Mus musculus: one gene and its partners. The main gene of each other region encodes a partner of the protein of the gene in region 4 in a complex. Links are inferred from orthologs where the notes say so. Each region holds a gene or a part of one and is shown on either strand. Other genes may lie near its edges.

Region 1 (4,176 bases), on a different chromosome or scaffold from region 4:
ATTAAAAAGCGAGGAGGGACAAGCCAGAAAGCACAGTTCCTGCTTCCCTAGGTAATGAGCTGTAGGCTATCAGATGAAACAAACCCTCTCTTACCCAAGTTACTTTTGGTCATGGATTTTTATCACAGCAATTGAAACGCCAAGACTGAAGTAAACCAAGTGAACGGAAGTTTCTTCTATAGAGCAGCATACTTACCACACTGAGACAAGACTTAATGTAATCCTTGGGTGTTCTCTGTGCTTCAGAATTTCCTCATCAATAAAAACTGGATTCGTAAAAAATAACCTGTCCGGAAGAGGTGTGGTACCAAGAAAACACATACAACGCTTGGCACAGTCCCAACTCAATGATCCTTTCACTGTCTTAAAGTCATGGGTTACCATAGCGATTTGGTCCCTCCCATTCCCTTCATCCATTGTCAAGCCAGACCTGCCAATATATTTAAATTGTATTCGGGAGAGAGCCGAATCCACAGCCTTCAACTACCCGGTTACCTTCTGGTTACTTTTAGCTCTTAGGGCGTAGGATTTTTTTTTCTTTTCAATTTAAATATTTATTTGTTTGTATATGGGAATCGGGGAGGACACCAGGAGCATGTGTGGAGGTCTGGTGTCAAAGGACAACTTTTGGCTGTTCATTCTCTCCTTCCACCAAGTGAGGACCCGGGGATCGAACTCAACATCTTAGACTTAGATTAGGATTGTTTTAGAAATGGGAAGGAAAGAGCAGCGGGTGAGGGTGGGAGCTTGCCATCTATTCGCACCAAAAAGAAGGCGCCCACACAGCTAGGGACAAATGACAGGGAGCAGCCCTCAGGGATTTCAGTTAGGTCCCTCCCCGCAACTCTCATTCTCTCCTCCAAGAGTTCTCTTCCGAAAGCTTCCTGAGAGGGTAAGTTTATGGTGTGGTGGCTCAGGTTATCCTGAAGGCCAAGCCCTTTCTGCGACAAAGCGGGATGTCACAGGCGTGCAGCAGCCTGGATGAGGGGGTCCGGGTCTAGTACCGCCGAAACGTAGGCACTTTGGACCAGGGATGGACTAGGGCTCTCAGGAAAAGGCTGCTATGTGGGACAGGAACAGCACTGAAAAGAGCATGCAGCACGGAGCTAAGCCGCCTTGCGCTCAGGGTTCAGAATTCGAATCGTGGAGCTGGACGTGGAGTCTACTAGTCCCAGGCTACCAGCAACTGAGCAGTAAAAATGCCGGGGGTCCATGGGGAAAATATTCCTTGAAAGAGCCCCCGCCTCTGGATGGCTGATTAGCCAATCGCATCTCGGGGCGGGGCCTCGGAGAGTAGTTACAGCCAATCGGAGTTCAGGGGGCGGGGCCTGGTCCCGGGCGCGCGCTGTGGCGGGGTCGCCCTGGGCAGAGATCTTGGAGCTACGGTAGGGAGCCGCTGAGGCGAACCGCTGAAGGGAACCTTCCCAGCATGGACGACCCCGCGGCACCGGGGCCCGCCGGCTCTCCTGCTAATGACAACGGCAACGGGAACGGCAATGGGAACGGGAACGGCAACGGCGGCAAAGGGAAGCCGGCCGTGCCCAAGGGCAGGGAAACGTTCCGCAACCAGCGGCGGGAGTCGGAGGTGAGGAACCCGGAGGTATCCGCCAGCGGGAAGCGGCGGCTGAGGTGGAGCGGCCCTCAGCCCGGTCCCTTCCCGCTGCGGGTCGCCCGCTTTCTTGCCTTGGCCTGCGGTTTTCCTAACCGGCGCGAAGAGCGTAACAGATACTTTCCAGATACTTGACAGCTGCCGCCCGGTGAAGCCGGAATTTGGATCCCGGTGTACCGATGGGGAACCAGCGCATAGAGGTGCAGGGACTGGACGGAGGGGCGGGAGCCCGAGCTCTGCCGCGGGAGGGGAGGGTGGGCTGGCGGGCAGCACGCCCTCCCTCTTCACACTGCAGCAACTGGCACTGGACTGGACCAGACCAGCCTGGAGCACCAGCCTTCCCCTTGCTATATCTCCTGCCCTCGGGTGATGGCGGTGGCTTAGGGAGCGCCTTCCGCGAACAGCTCGCCCCTTTTCTAGGAGGGTTGAAAGACAGGATTCAAGCTGGGATAGGACCAGGGCGACGTTTGAGAGTAGCAGTCCCAGGATGCAGCTAATGGGATGGCTATTTAAATATCTTCCACCTTTTCTTAGGAAAAAAACAAAACCAAAACCAAAAAAAACTAACTTGGGACATGGAAAGGAATGAATTATTATTATTCCCCTACATTTTATCTAGCCATATTCCATCTATCAACCAAGAGCAAAACTGCATACAAGCAGGGACTCAGGGGGAACGAAATGTATGTGGAAGGGGATGTGAAGGTCATCTGGTTTAGCCTTTATTTGATTCGATTTCATCTGGATTTAATTATTTGAGACAGCCCATGGCAACGTCTATTGACAACTTGCCCTGGCTGGGCTTGAACTCACTGTGTAACTGAGGAGAGCTTTGATCCTCCTGCCTCTGTTTTTCAGGTGTTAGGATTACAAAATATGCTACCACAGTGAGCCTAACCTTTCATTTTACTACGTAGAAGCCACGGAGTTGGGGGGATGTGGCTCAGTGATGGAGTGCTTGTGTAGCTTACACAAGACTCTAAATTGATCCCCAGCAGCAGAAAAGGGGTCTGGTCATCTAGAGACAAAAGGTAAAAGAGATAAAACCAACTCTCCTGAGATCAGACACTTGGCTGACAGTGAATGGCCAAAACCACCAAGTTTCAGTGTCTGTCTGGCCAATTGTCTGTCTGTCTGTTTCAGTACCTCCATTTATTATCTGTGTGGCTTTAGGCAAATTAACTAACCTAGTTTCTTTTGTAAAACAGTTACCACTGAATAACTCAGAAGGTTGAGATAATCGAACACAAAGCCTTTTAAACAGTTCATATAATTAATTGGTCAGTACTTATAACTGTCATCATTCTCGTTAAGGGGCAGAGGGAGTCCTAGTCTGTGGTGATTCATTTAAATAGTATTTCACAGTTTCCAAAGTGATCAATCTGTCTATTTGGTTATTTGTTGTACAGAGACCAACACTAGCATATACACTGCCATTAAGCTCTCACCCCCGTCTCCTAGTTCCTAAAAGGTAAATGGAGCAGGGGAAACTGCCCCCAAAGTCACCATCTTGTACAGACAGGGTTTCTTTGTAGGGATTTTCTTTTAAAAGTGCCTTATACCTCCTTCCTCAAGAGAGACATTGGTGTGTTTTTCGATGAAGGAAAAGTTTAATCTTGGCTCATGGTTTCAGAGGACTATTGTGGTGGTGAGGCCATGTTGGAGGACAGCTCAAAACGGAGGAAGTGAAACATTGTTCTTGATCAAATATTTTGAGGGGCTAGCAATGAAGTTACAAGATGTTAATGATATATCAGTGAATAAGGCAGAAGGGTCTTTGCCCTTCTAGAGCAAGCATTCCAGGAAAGGTGGGGAGACACAATATGCAAATAAATGACCCCAGAGTGATAGGCTGGGTCTTCCTTCTGAAGTAGAGGCATGGCACAATCCCCACCTGTCTCAGTCCCCTGCAGGAAAAAGGCTCTCGTAGTGTGTTGCTTTTGCCAGTGAGCTCAGTGTGGCTCCCCGGAGTTTCACCTCCTGACTTTCCGCAGCTGCATTCTTCATGCTTGGAAATGAACAACTGCAGTAATCATCTCTGTCTGGGCTCATTGCCTCCAAAAGCCTTGCTGGAAAAATTAGTGTTACTTCCACCTTCTAAGGCAAAGGGTATGACTGTTAGTACGTCCCCTGTCATCTTTGCAGTGCCCAAATCTGCTTTTCCTTCCCTCTTTGTTTTCCAGTAAAGAAAATCCTTAGGGAAAATAGTTTTCTTTTCCTAGAACTCCTGAAAATTTTGCTAGAAGAGAATTACAATTGGCACAAATCAAGATATAGATAGATAGATAGATAGATAGATAGATAGATAGATAGATAGATAGATAGATAGATATGCATGATAAGGGCATTTCTTGTACTTAACTCTTAGTCTTTACAGTGACCCAGTGAAGAAAACCTTACTATTGTCCTATTTTATGGGTGAGAAAACTGAGCATTTTCCAACAATAGTTACTGATGCCAACTGAATGTCCTACAAATGAATTCAATTCTGACACTAATTGCCCAGATGTAGTGAACATACAAGATTGCCCCCAATTCATATGCAAGCCACAACTGAAGTTCCTAGA
Region 2 (4,223 bases), on a different chromosome or scaffold from region 4:
TACTTAAGGGACAAGCTGGTTCTCAGGAGTTGATTCTTTCTCCTCCAGGGTGCACAGGCCATGATAGAAAGAGCTGTTCGTCATCCGGGGATGCTGTGTTCTGTGAGGCTTTGCCACTCCTGATGTCTAGAGGGTTGAGGCCAGTGACCAAGAGTCTTGTACCTGCTTCTTGGGGAGGGAGGTTTCTGGAGGAGGACACTGTAAAAAGTAACATTAAAACCATCTTGGTTACTCCTATGTGTTTGGCACTCAGACGTGACGGAGAATGAGGTGAGAGGCCACCATTTTTGGATGATTGCTCTTTGAGTCAATACAGATGTGAGCAGGTAATTCAGAGTAAACGAGACAGCTACAAAATGAAGGCAGAAAAGCAAGAGCCACTTCTAAGGGATTATTAAACACACCCTCATTTCCCCATGATTTCTCTGTTATATTTTCAATTTCAGTTTTATTTATTCATTTGTTTATCTCCCCCATGTGAATGTAAACTCCACGAAGACTAGAATCCTATTTTTGTTCATTATTATATCCTTAAAAGTATTTGTCAGTGGCTTGAGGACAGATACAACTTCATACTGTTATCCTTAGCCCCCAAGAGTCTCTCTCTCTCTCTCTCTCTCTCTCTCTCTCTCTCTCTCTCTCTCTCTCTCTCTCTCTTTCTCTGTCTCTCTCTCTCTCTGTCTCTCTTCACTTCAAGTTCAAGACAGGGTTTCTCTGTATAGTCCTGGCTGTCCCGGAACTCACTTTGTAAACCAGGCTGGCCTCGAACTCAGAAATCTGCCTGCCTCTGACTCCCAAGTGCTGGGATTAAAGGCGTGCGCCACCAACGCCCGGCTTTTTCCCCTGTTTTGATAAGTGAGATTATTAACGTGGCTCCAGAGGTGTCTTGGATGGAGTTATAATCTGATAAGTAAAACCAGGAGTCCCCAGGGTTGCACAAGGTGTTTCTTACAGAGTCCTACTGACTTGGAGGTTTTTCAGCTGGAAGGTTAGAGAAAAGCCACAACCAGTTGTTAATTGTACAGAAATTCTTTGCTAGGAAAACGTGTCAACTAGACCCATGAGTCAGGAATTGCTTTCTTTAATGATGTCTCCCTAATTTCCCCTTTCATCCTGCCTCACCTTGAACAGGGAGGGCTCTAAAGACAGGCAAAGCGATGATAGACAACGAATTAAAGTGTTAAGTCTCATGGATAAAAAAGACATCTAAAGGGATTCCTGCGAGCCCAGCCGCACGTCTCCGGCTTAGTTCCACGGGAAGGAGGGAGGGGAAACTAAATGACAAAGCCAGGAAAGACCTTGGGAGGTGATTGGCAGTTGCGGCTTTCGACACACGCAGCCACACTGAATATGGCGATTGGGGAAATTTCCTGGAGGAAATCACGCGAGAGTTGCCTGACGGGAGGCCGTCCGCGAATTGAGCCGGGGGTGTGGAGCAGCCAAGATGGAGCCGGCAGCCGCCGGTCCCGGCCCTCTGATTGTGAACAACAAGCAGCCGCAGCCGCCACCTCCTCCGCCGCCTGCCACCGCGCAGCCTCCTCCTGGGGCGCCGAGGGCCGCCGGAGGCCTCCTGCCGGGGGGCAAAGCCCGCGAGTTCAACCGCAACCAGCGCAAAGACTCGGAGGTCAGAGCTGCAGGGGGGCGAGGCTGGCACCGGGCGGGTGACAGAGGGGGTCCCGGGAGACCGGGGCGGCATCCGGGCCCAGCCGGGCTTCCCGACGGCTTGACAGGGACCCTGGGAGCTGTCACTTTACCGGGAACCGTGCAGTTAGCTAGGCTGGCAGCCGCCACAGCCCCGGGGAGGAAAGCCCGGAGCCCTGTCACCAACTCTGCTGCGGCCGGGGGAAGAAGGTCCCCGAGCCGGGGATGGCCGGTCGCCCCCGGGGGCGTGGCCTGAGGCACAGCCCTCCTGGGGTGCAAAATCGGTGGTCTGCTGGCTGGTTAGCCCCTCATCCTTTCCGGCCTCTGATCTTAGCAGGGTGGTGGGCCACGCCAGTTGGCAGCGAAGGGACCCAGGAGAGTTTAGCGGGCGCTTAGAACAGGGCTTCTCTCTCTAGTGCTGCTTGGCCGGCCCCAGGTTGTGTGAGTAGCAGAGAGAGCACATTGTGGCTTCCCTCCGAATTTTAGTCAGCGCTGGATCAAACCGCGGCCAGACATTGCCAAGTATTTTTGCATGCCCAGTGAGCCCAGTTGCTGAGCTGTGAAGGGATCAGAAGTACACAAAGGGCGCCGGATTCTCCTCCTTGCTAGTGAGCTGCGATTCCCTTTGCCCGCGCTGTCTGGAGCTATTCACCTCGCCCCAAGTTAAAATTCCTCCCACTGCTTCCGTTTGCAGAATTCATGAATGAACACACACCCGTCTCGTCGCAGCATTTCAGGGCTTCCTCATCAGCACATTCATTCCCAGAGCGCTTACTACGCAATCTCCTCCACCTGAGACAACTTCCAGTGTGATGAACAGCCAGGCACTTACCGAGAGGGAATTCCTCAAATTCAAATTTGATGCTTCAGCTAGTACCAGATACTAAAGATAGTGTCTTTAAGCCTAAGAAATCAGTTCCCTCCAAACATTTTGTTGTTGTCGCAGGCTCAAATTCTGATAACTTATGTCACAAAGGAACAAGCCCAGAGTTGAGAGGATGAGTTTAGAGTGGCTTTTTTGAAAAAGATGGACCTTTTAGGAGCCTTTTGTTGTGGAATGATGGGTGATCAGTGGCTACTTCTCAGTGATCTCTTAAGTACGAAGGAGTATGGAAGTTAAGTTTGTAAGACCTTTAATGACCAGACTTGTCCAGGTTTTCTGAAGAGAACCCTGAGAATTGAACTACACCTTCAAATTTCTCTTTTTAAATGTTTGAGTGGACTGGAGAGATGGTTCAGTGGTTAAGAGAACTTGCTGTTCTCTCAGAGGATCCCAGCACCCAAGTTGGGCCGCTCACAACTGCCTATTAGCACACTAGCTCCTAGGGATCCAGTACTGTCCTTTTGTCCTCCATGGGCACATGTATACACACACAGATAAACACATAATACATTTAAAATAAGTGCTTTAGGGATGGCGGGATAGCTCAGCAGGTAAAGTAGTTTTAAATTTTCCTGAAAAGCCACAAAATAGTCAGATAAATACCCTTTTGTGCATTTTATTTTATTTGTTGTTTGTTTGCTTCTTTGTTTTTTGTTTTGTTTTTGTTTTTGAGACAGGGTTTCTCTGTGTAGCTTTAGCTGTCCTAGAACTCTGCTCTGCAGATGGGGCTGGCCTCAAACTCAACAGAGATTCATCTGCCTCTTGAGTGCTAGGATTAAAGGTGTGCACCACCCCTTATTCGTGTTATTATGTGGTGCTGAGAATCAGATTCAGGGCCTTGTGCAAGGTAGGCAAACACTATACTGCTGAGGTATGTCCTCAGCCTCTATTACATGTTTTTATTTCTCTTCCTACCTTTAATTTCACTGGATTCAACATCTGGAAGGCCCATCACATCGATCTGTGTCCTTGTGTTGGAGGTGCTGATGCTGCACACCCTTCTGGTGACAGCTGAAGTCAGTAGTTTGGGGATCTGATCAGTGCCTAGAGCACAAGGAGGCTCAGTATGTGCCAGGTAAACTTTATTAGTCCTCAAAACTAGCCAAGGCAGTCGAGCATGCTTCCAGTCACAACACTCCGGAAGCTGAGCAAGGAGAATCAGAGTTCAAGGCCAGCCTGGGCTGCATAGTAAAACCTTGTCTCTATAAAAATACACTGGGGGGGGGGGGCTAAGAAATGGTAATGGATTTGGGGGTGAATAAGACCACAATATATTATATAATGGGAATGAAACTGTCAAAAAAAAAAAAAAGGTCTTAAGCTAAGTTTGAAGCAGAGTTTTGTCATTCCCATTGGGTAAATGAAACTCAACCTCAGTAATGTATACAAATGTTGATTTTAGTTGTGTTTTAATGGGACTGGGACTTGAACCCAGGACTCTACACATGGTAGGTAATCATTTTACCACTAAACTCTGTCTCTAGCCTAGAAGCTCAGTAGTGTATGGAAGTGTCCATTAGTGCCCATTAATAAGGAATAGAGTTATGGCTTGTGGGCATATTATGTCATGTCAGGGGTCATTATCAGTTAGAAGGTTTTCCCTGACCCCACTCTCCATCTCACTCACCCACCCAGCTGCATGCTGAGAATTAAGCCCAGGATCTAGCACCTACTAGGAAGGTGCTCTGTGCTGAACTGT
Region 3 (4,171 bases), on a different chromosome or scaffold from region 4:
AAGTTATACTTAGGATAGGTTTAGCCGGAACCCATCCTATCTTATTATTTGCTTCTTTAACCCATATCTTTTGCAATCCAAAGACCCTGCAATACAACCGGTTATCTTGGATAGACTGTCCGTGGCAGGACAATCTGATAAACTAACACAAGCGTCAGGCACTGAAGAGGACAAAGTTATTTTCTTAGTGAAACAGTTACAAAGTGGTTCTCTATCAATGCCAATTTTGCCTTTTTAACAGCTACGCATCTAGCTTGACACCATCCACCTGGTACTCAATTAGCAGGGCTTTCTTCAATCTTGTGATCTCCCAGACCAGTTTTAATGGTGCAACTCAAAACAAAATCCTTAACCACGCCCTTAATATCCCAGGCAGAGTTACCTTTTGTTTTTTGTTTTTTTTCTCTCTCTCTACCAAAGTCTGTAATTGTACGTAATTGTACTGAAAAGGTTTGCACCGCGATCCTAAGTCAACATAGCACTCTTTCCTCCAGTATCCAGGCGTTCCTATTGTCAGATGCCTTCCTCCCCAGGTTGCTGTGCTGTAGCCCGCAAGTGGCGCCCACGCTTACCTCCTTCACACCTGCAATCCCCGCTCGGGATGCTGGAGAGGATGCTGGGCAGGCTGAGACTGCTCCGGATGCTGCTCTTGCCTCTCTCCAGGGAAACTACAGACTAGGCTGAGCTGAAGCTTCTTCTGAGATTCAAGCTCCGCCTTCCCCGCCTCTAATTGGCCGAAGCTCGGGCTGCGGCTCCTCCCACTGCCATCTGCGCAGCCTAGGCGCAGAGCGGTACCCGAGGTCTCTTAGTTCCTGGTGCTCTGACCCCTTCATTTCGGACTTTCTCCCCTCTGGCATCGCACCTGGCCCTTCCTCAGGTCCTGCTTAGCTCTTTTAGCCGGCTGGTCCAGTGAACACGGGAGTGGGCTGTCCTTTGGGGGTATGGGGGTACTGTTGCTTCGGAGTAGGCGGAGCCCACCGGTCTAGCCCCTAGAGCCTTCCTCCCCGCCTACCCATGGACTCAGCCCAGCCTCCTGTCGCTTGCTACCTCTGGCCCCCCGCCCTTTTCTTTACACCCATCCGAGGGCACCTCCCATCGGTGGGCGTGGCGTTGTGGGCTATCTTCTCATTCTGATTGGTGCAGGTGAGACTCGGCCCCGCCCTCCCTCGTTTCTGGGCGCGCTCTCTCTTCATCTCCTCCCCTCCCTCAAAGACAGGGAACTCTCTTCTGATTTGCTAGAAGTGTCCCCACCTATTGCCTAAGGCGTTCTCGCACAGCCTTCTGGGAAATGTAGTCTTACTATTGCAGGAAGTGCTAACGGAAATGGAGGGCGGAACTACAAATCCCCATCGGGCCTTGCGCGACTCCTGCTGGGCAGGATTCCGGACAACGCCTGGTTCCTTTCGGGTCCTTCCGGCGTCGCCGGAGTGAATTGATCCGGGAGTTGAAGAGGGCTCCAAAGGTGGGAAGTGAAGTCCGTGCCTCAGTTGCCGGTAAGGCGAGGTTTCTCGGTTCGGGTCCGCACGGCTCCGTGGGCAGCCAGAGCGGCCTGGGGTCAGGCGGGGACCGAGGCGGAGGTGCTGAGGCTAGGCTCTGGCCGGCGGGGCGGACGGGTGGGGAGCCGGGCCTTGTGGGCGTCAGCGAGGTCTCTACGCGAGCTGCGGAAAGCTGGGTTTGTAAATGCCTCCTGCCCAGCCCGGCCCGGCGCCTCCAGGAAGTCCGCTGTGGGTTTGGGTGGAGGGGAAGGGTGAGGTCGGCCTCCCGGGTCTCCACTGACCGAGGGGGCGGATGTGGTGGGGTGAGGTCCCGGGCAGGTGAGGCTAAAGCTTGGCTAGGCCTGGAGGGAGCGTGGGTGCCCGGGAGTCGCCTCCCGGTGTGGCTGGGGTTATGCCCTTTGAGGGAAGAAGAGAGACAGTGTTGACAGTTCCGACTCAGTTCCAATTTCCTCTCTGAGGAGGTGATTCTTAACTCGGAAGGTTTGTGCCTCTTGACTCCAATACGTCAGATGGATGTATACTTCTCAAGTGCCCTCGAAGCGCTTTCACTTTGGGATGCTAATGAGACTACTGTAGAAGCAAATGACGTGCCCAAGGTCACACAGATCTTCAGAGTCTAGTCCTCCGAAAGTCCAGTTTCTGACCAGAGTTGTCGGCTTAGGAAGAAAGAGTGGGGAGGTGGGTGGTAGTACTGGAAGCAGATAGAAGAAGTTGCAAAGTAGTGTGCCTGTTTGTCAGAAACGGTTGTGAGGTGCAGAGAGTTGGTTTGTTGACGTGGAGTGGAAGCTTTGCCAAAGCATCCTCTCTAATGTTCTGTAAAACAGGAAGGATCGCTTTAGCTTAGATCTTTACCCCTTTTTCTGGGGTCTACTGAATGATAACACTCACTTTCCACACGCCATTTTTAAAGGATAGATAATATTTAGGAATAGCTCAGTGTTGCCATTAAGAGAATAGTCCTTTTCATTTCTATTTTCTTACCATTTTCAAAAACTATGGGTGAAACTTTCACAGAACTTACTTTACAGATATTCATGCTTTCATTAAGTGAAAATTAAGTGCAGAATCTTGGAGAAATTGTACCATGTTCATTACAAGAAGTGACCCTTTGGGGGGGGGGGTCAGGTTTTTACTTTTCTCTCATTTTCTTCACTCCATGTGTAGACAGTAAAACATACACTTGTATATTTTCTTTTCTTGGCATCATCAGTGAGTTTTAATTCATTCTTATTTAATGTTAATGAATGATAAAAATGATGCTTCTATATTGAATGGAAAGAACTGCAGGCTTACTATGTAAATTAAAATATAAATACATAGTATGTACTGTAAGTATATATGCTATATATTGAATGTGCTTTGCTTGCCATGATTAATATTAATTTTTTTTTAATGCAAAGCTGTTTCTGGGATCAGAAGAACCAGTCAAAATGGTCTTGTTTGAAGGGGACTTTTAAAGAAAATGGAGAGTTGTGGTACCATAAAATGAAGCAAAATCAGGAATAATGTAACACCACACGTCACAGTAAGGGAAAAGTCACTAACAAAAGGGAAATTATCTGGGATTAATTGGTTTTGAAGTGGAGTTTGAAGTGCATTAATTTGAGTGGGCCATATGTAAGTCAGTGCTGGTAAAGCAAGAATGCTAATATATTTTCTAGATGACAGTGTGGACATTTGTTGTTTGCTGGGAAAGGTATGAAATAAGTTTTAAGTGGCACACAGCTGTGTTGGTTATGGAAGGACTTTTTTAACAACAAAAAAAGTTTTGTCTTTGATTTAGTCCTACTCCAACTCTGTCTGTATCTCTGAGGCCCATCATACTGTCCTGTTTCATCGTCACTACAGTGTAAGTGCTGAGATGAACAGTGAGATGAACAGAGAAGATGATTTTGAACATCCTTCAGGCTCTAGCTAGAGCTCACAGATCGGATGTTTGCCTGTAGTGTGCAGCTCTCTTTGCCCACATTTGTTCCCTTAAAGAGCTTTGCATCAACTCTCAGACACTATCCATTGCAGGACTTTGGAGGTTTTCCTTAAAGAGCCATCTCTCTCTTAAAGAGTAGTCTGTAAGAACAGGGTCTATATATTATTTATCTTTTTAGTCTTGGTAGAATAATTGAGTGGCTAAGGGGAATGGAAAAGGAATGGCTAGGTGACTTTCCCAAGGTCATATGACCTGGAAAAGATCAGCTTATAATTAATCCATGTATTTTCACTATAGGTTTTAATATTGTGTTCAAACTTCGATTATTTTATGTAAGAAAAAGACTGACCATTACAGATGTCACTATCTCCTTATTCTGTTTAATGCTACTAATTTGTCCTCAATTTCCTGAATGTCTCCAAACTTATTCTCAGCTGTCACCTTTTTTTCTCATATAAGTTTCTTCCTGATTTGGGGACAATTTTACAAATTCCAACTTTCCACCTGTCTAGTATAAGGGAGTTTTATTTTCTTTTACAGCAAAACTTCTGTGTAACTTAGCATTTTAGAAAACCTTGCTACTGCCTTTTTAAAAAGCAAATAAGATTCATTATAACAAAATATAGATATGGAAGAAGGTTTTTATGGACTCTATTCTTCCCTTAGATTTTAACTTCAAAACAATTATTTCACTTACCTTGTAGCTAAGGACACCAAAACTAGAAGTAAATTTACTCCTTGGGACTCA
Region 4 (3,512 bases):
TGTATTTAATGATAACCAAGGTACGCTCCTTCAGAGTGAAAAGTTCCAGGTCTGAACATCCTACTCTAAAAAAGCAAACAAAACAATGATTCTGGGCTAATATCCACTTATCAGTGAGTACATATTGTGCGAGTTCCTTTGTGATTGGGTTTCCTCACTCAGGATGATACCCTTCAGGTCCATCCATTTGCCTAAGAATTTCATAAATTCATTCTTTTTAATGGCTGCATAGTACTCCATTGTATAAATGTACCACATTTTCTGTATCCATTCCTCTGTTGAGTGACATCTGGGTTCTTTCCAGCTTCTGGCTATTATAAATAAGGCTGCTATGAACATAGTGGAGCATGTGTCCTTATTACAAGTTGGAGCATCTTCTGGGTATATGCCCAGGAGTGGTATTGGTGGATCTTCCAGTAGAACTGTGTCCAATTTTCTGAGGAACCGCCAGACTGATTTCCAGAGTGGTTGTACAAGCTTGCAATCCCACCAGCAATGGAGGAGTGTTCCTCTTTCTCCACATCCACGCCAGTACTGCTGTCATCTGAATTTTTGATCTTAGCCATTCTGACAGGTGTGAGGTGGGATCTCAGGGTTGTTTTGATTTGCGTTTCCCTGATGATTAAGGATGTTGAACATTTTTTTAGGTGCTTCTCAGCCCTTCGGTATTCCTCAGTTGAGAATTCTTTGTTTAGCCCAGTACTCCATTTTTAATAGGATTATTTGGTTTCCTGGAGTCCAACTTCTTGAGTTTTTTGTGTATATTGGATATTAGCCCCCTATCGGATATAGGATAGGTAAAGATCTTTTCACAATCTGTTTGTTGATTGCCGTTTTGTCTTATTGACGATGTCCTTTGCCTTACAGAAGCTTTGCAGTTTTATGAGGTCCCATTTGTCGATTCTTGATCTTACAGCACAAGCCATTGCTATTCTGTTCAGGAATCTTTCCCCTGTGCCCATATCTTCAAGGCTCTTCCCCACTTTCTCCTCTGTAAGTTTCAGTGTCTCTGGTTTTATGTGGAATTCCTTGATCCACTTAGACCTGAGCTTTGTACAAGGAAATAAGAATGGGTCATTTCGCATTCTTCTACATGATATCCGCCAGTTGTACCAGCACTATTTGTTGAAAATGTTGTCTTCTTTTCACTGGATGGTTTTAGCTCCTTTGTCAAAAATCAAGTGACCATAGGTGTGTGAGTTCATTTCTGGGTCTTCAGTTCTATTCCATGCATCTACCTGTCTGTCACTGTACCAGTACCATGCAGTTTTTATCACAATAGCTCTGTAGTACAGCTTGAGTTTGGGGATGGTGATTCCACCAGAGGTTCTTTTATTGTTGAGAAGAGTTTTTGCTATCCTAGGTCTTTTTGTTATTTGAATTTGCAAATTACCTTTTCTAACGCGGTGAAGAATTGAGTTGGAATTTTGATGGGGATTGCATTGAGTCTGTAGATGGCTTTTGGCAAGACAGACATTTTGACTATTAATCCTGCCAATCCATGAGCATGGGAGATCTTCCCATCTTCTTAGATCTTCTTCAATGTCTTTCTTCAGAGACTTGAAGTTCTTGTCATACAGATCTTTCACTTCCTTAATTAGAGTCTCACCAAGGTATTTTATATTATTTGTGACTATTTTGAAGTGTGTTGTTTCCCTAATTTCTTTCTCATCTTGTTTATCCTTTGTGTAGAGAAAGGCCACTGATTTGTTTGAGTTAATTGTATAGCTAGCTACTTCACTGAAGTTGTTTATTGGGTTTAGATCTCTGGTGGAATTTTTTGGGGGCCACTTAAGTACACTATCATGTCATCTGCAAATAGTGATATTTTGGTAGAAAACATTTAACAGGTAAGGATAATAATGTAGACACAGGTTAGAAAGGAATACTCTTTACTGAAAGGTTAAAAAATAACTTTTGTTTTAATGTTAAGCATTATTTATCTAAGTTGGTCATACTTTGATTTGTTTTGCTACATTTTGAGCACTTTGTCAAGTGGACTGTAAACTGTCATTCCTTTGAATATTTCTAAAACTTAGAGCTGGGAATTCCTGCCTCTGTGGATCTGGTGAGCAGCGACCCGAGCCATATGGTAGCATCGTTCAGCAAGGGATATACAAGCATCTTTAACATGGAAACACAGCAGCGAGTTCTCACGCTAGAATCCAATGTTGATTCAAGTATGTATACCAGTTTTCAAAAGTATAACTGCCACAGTCACTGTAAAGAATGCTTGAGTTCTAAACTGTTGTAGTGCCCACGCCCGAGAACACATTTACTTTAAAACAGTTGCTGTTGTTTTTTAACTTCAATATAGGCTAAGCAACCAAACAACAGAAAAACTTCACATGAAGAACTTTTTCCATATGGCTGGTGACATTTTCTGTTGTGTGTGGAAATAACAGACAGAGTATAGTAACTAATTTCTTTGAAAATTCTTAAAAAGTACACAACAACAATTGTCAGTATGCTACTTAAAAATTCAAAATCTGATGATGAATTTTTTTCCTATTAAGTTGCAAAGAAGGAACAAGGAACGATGGTATCTATGTTTTGATCACAACTATATGAATAGAGCTCTGTATGTAGAAGGAACTGAGGTTTAACTTTGAAGATGACTTGTGTTCAAGTGATGATAGAACCTTTTTGGTTGGTGTGTTTTTGTTGTGAGACAGGATCTCACTTGAATGTCTGGCTGGCCTGGAACTCTCTATGTAGATGAGCCAGGCTGCTCTTGAACTCACAGAGATCCTCCTGCCTGTGCATCACCATGCCCAGCTATTAGAACTTTACTAAGGAGCAAAGCTAGAGACGTGATGTCATCAGTGTCTCTAGTGTGTATCGGGGTGGAAAAGGGACTTCTGACTTGTCATTACCTGTGGCTGTGGCTCGTGGTTTAGCTCAGGTAACTCATTTTACAACACTGTAGCTGGAGACTGGGTAATTGACTGCAGCCAGACTAAAGTTGAATTATTTTTTTTTCTGCCTTTGTTTGGAAAAAAAAAATACTTTGACTAATTTGAATCATTTTCAATTTTTCCTTTTTAGCATCCAGTTCTTCCTGCCAAATAAACAGAGTCATCAGCCATCCTACCCTCCCAATCAGCATCACTGCTCATGAAGACAGGCACATCAAGTTCTACGATAACAATACAGGTAAGAGCTTTCTGAGACTGGATCGTGCTGAAGCCACACCCACTGCAACAAGAACCCAAAGCAGCCATGAGCACCTACTAAAAGCAAGCTAGTTGTGGGTCTTGATGGCCGCTCCACGGTCACGGAGTAGTCATGGAAGCACGCTGCAGGCCGCTTCTGTTCACTTAATGTCTTCTCAGATGGTTCCATACAGTATGGGATGGTTTTTAGTTTGTTTAATAGTAAGCATATTCTAAAGCCACGCACCTAGGCGCTGGTAGAAATGGTCTGTAACAGTCCATGAGTAGTGAGCATTAACAGAAACTTGTGGAGGCAGAGGCCGGTGATGGGTTTTACTTTAAGTTGTTCAGTTATCA

What was found.
Region 1: Strn (region 4) and Strip2 share a complex: the UniProt entries of both Homo sapiens proteins name them as parts of the core of STRIPAK complex. The link is inferred for Mus musculus from reciprocal best matches to the Homo sapiens genes STRN and STRIP2.
Region 2: Strn (region 4) and Strip1 share a complex: the UniProt entries of both Homo sapiens proteins name them as parts of the core of STRIPAK complex. The link is inferred for Mus musculus from reciprocal best matches to the Homo sapiens genes STRN and STRIP1.
Region 3: Strn (region 4) and Pdcd10 share a complex: the UniProt entries of both Homo sapiens proteins name them as parts of the core of STRIPAK complex. The link is inferred for Mus musculus from reciprocal best matches to the Homo sapiens genes STRN and PDCD10.

The regions. Positions count from the first base shown.
Region 1 is NC_000072.6:29,915,646-29,919,821, forward strand, and holds the start of Strip2 (striatin-interacting proteins 2), read left to right. Parts: upstream 1-1,367; 5' UTR 1,368-1,429; coding exon 1,430-1,585; intron 1,586-4,176. UniProt on the Homo sapiens protein: Plays a role in the regulation of cell morphology and cytoskeletal organization. Required in the control of cell shape. Calmodulin-binding scaffolding protein which is the center of the striatin-interacting phosphatase and kinase (STRIPAK) complexes.
Region 2 is NC_000069.6:107,628,902-107,633,124, reverse strand, and holds the start of Strip1 (striatin-interacting protein 1), read left to right. Parts: upstream 1-1,414; 5' UTR 1,415-1,444; coding exon 1,445-1,624; intron 1,625-4,223. UniProt on the Homo sapiens protein: Plays a role in the regulation of cell morphology and cytoskeletal organization. Required in the cortical actin filament dynamics and cell shape. Part of the striatin-interacting phosphatase and kinase (STRIPAK) complexes.
Region 3 is NC_000069.6:75,554,044-75,558,214, reverse strand, and holds the start of Pdcd10 (programmed cell death protein 10), read left to right. Parts: upstream 1-1,362; 5' UTR 1,363-1,493; intron 1,494-4,171. UniProt on the Homo sapiens protein: Promotes cell proliferation. Modulates apoptotic pathways. Increases mitogen-activated protein kinase activity and STK26 activity. Important for cell migration, and for normal structure and assembly of the Golgi complex.
Region 4 is NC_000083.6:78,656,552-78,660,063, reverse strand, and holds part of Strn (striatin), read left to right. Parts: coding exon 1-20; intron 21-2,039; coding exon 2,040-2,180; intron 2,181-3,048; coding exon 3,049-3,156; intron 3,157-3,512. UniProt on the Homo sapiens protein: Calmodulin-binding scaffolding protein which is the center of the striatin-interacting phosphatase and kinase (STRIPAK) complexes.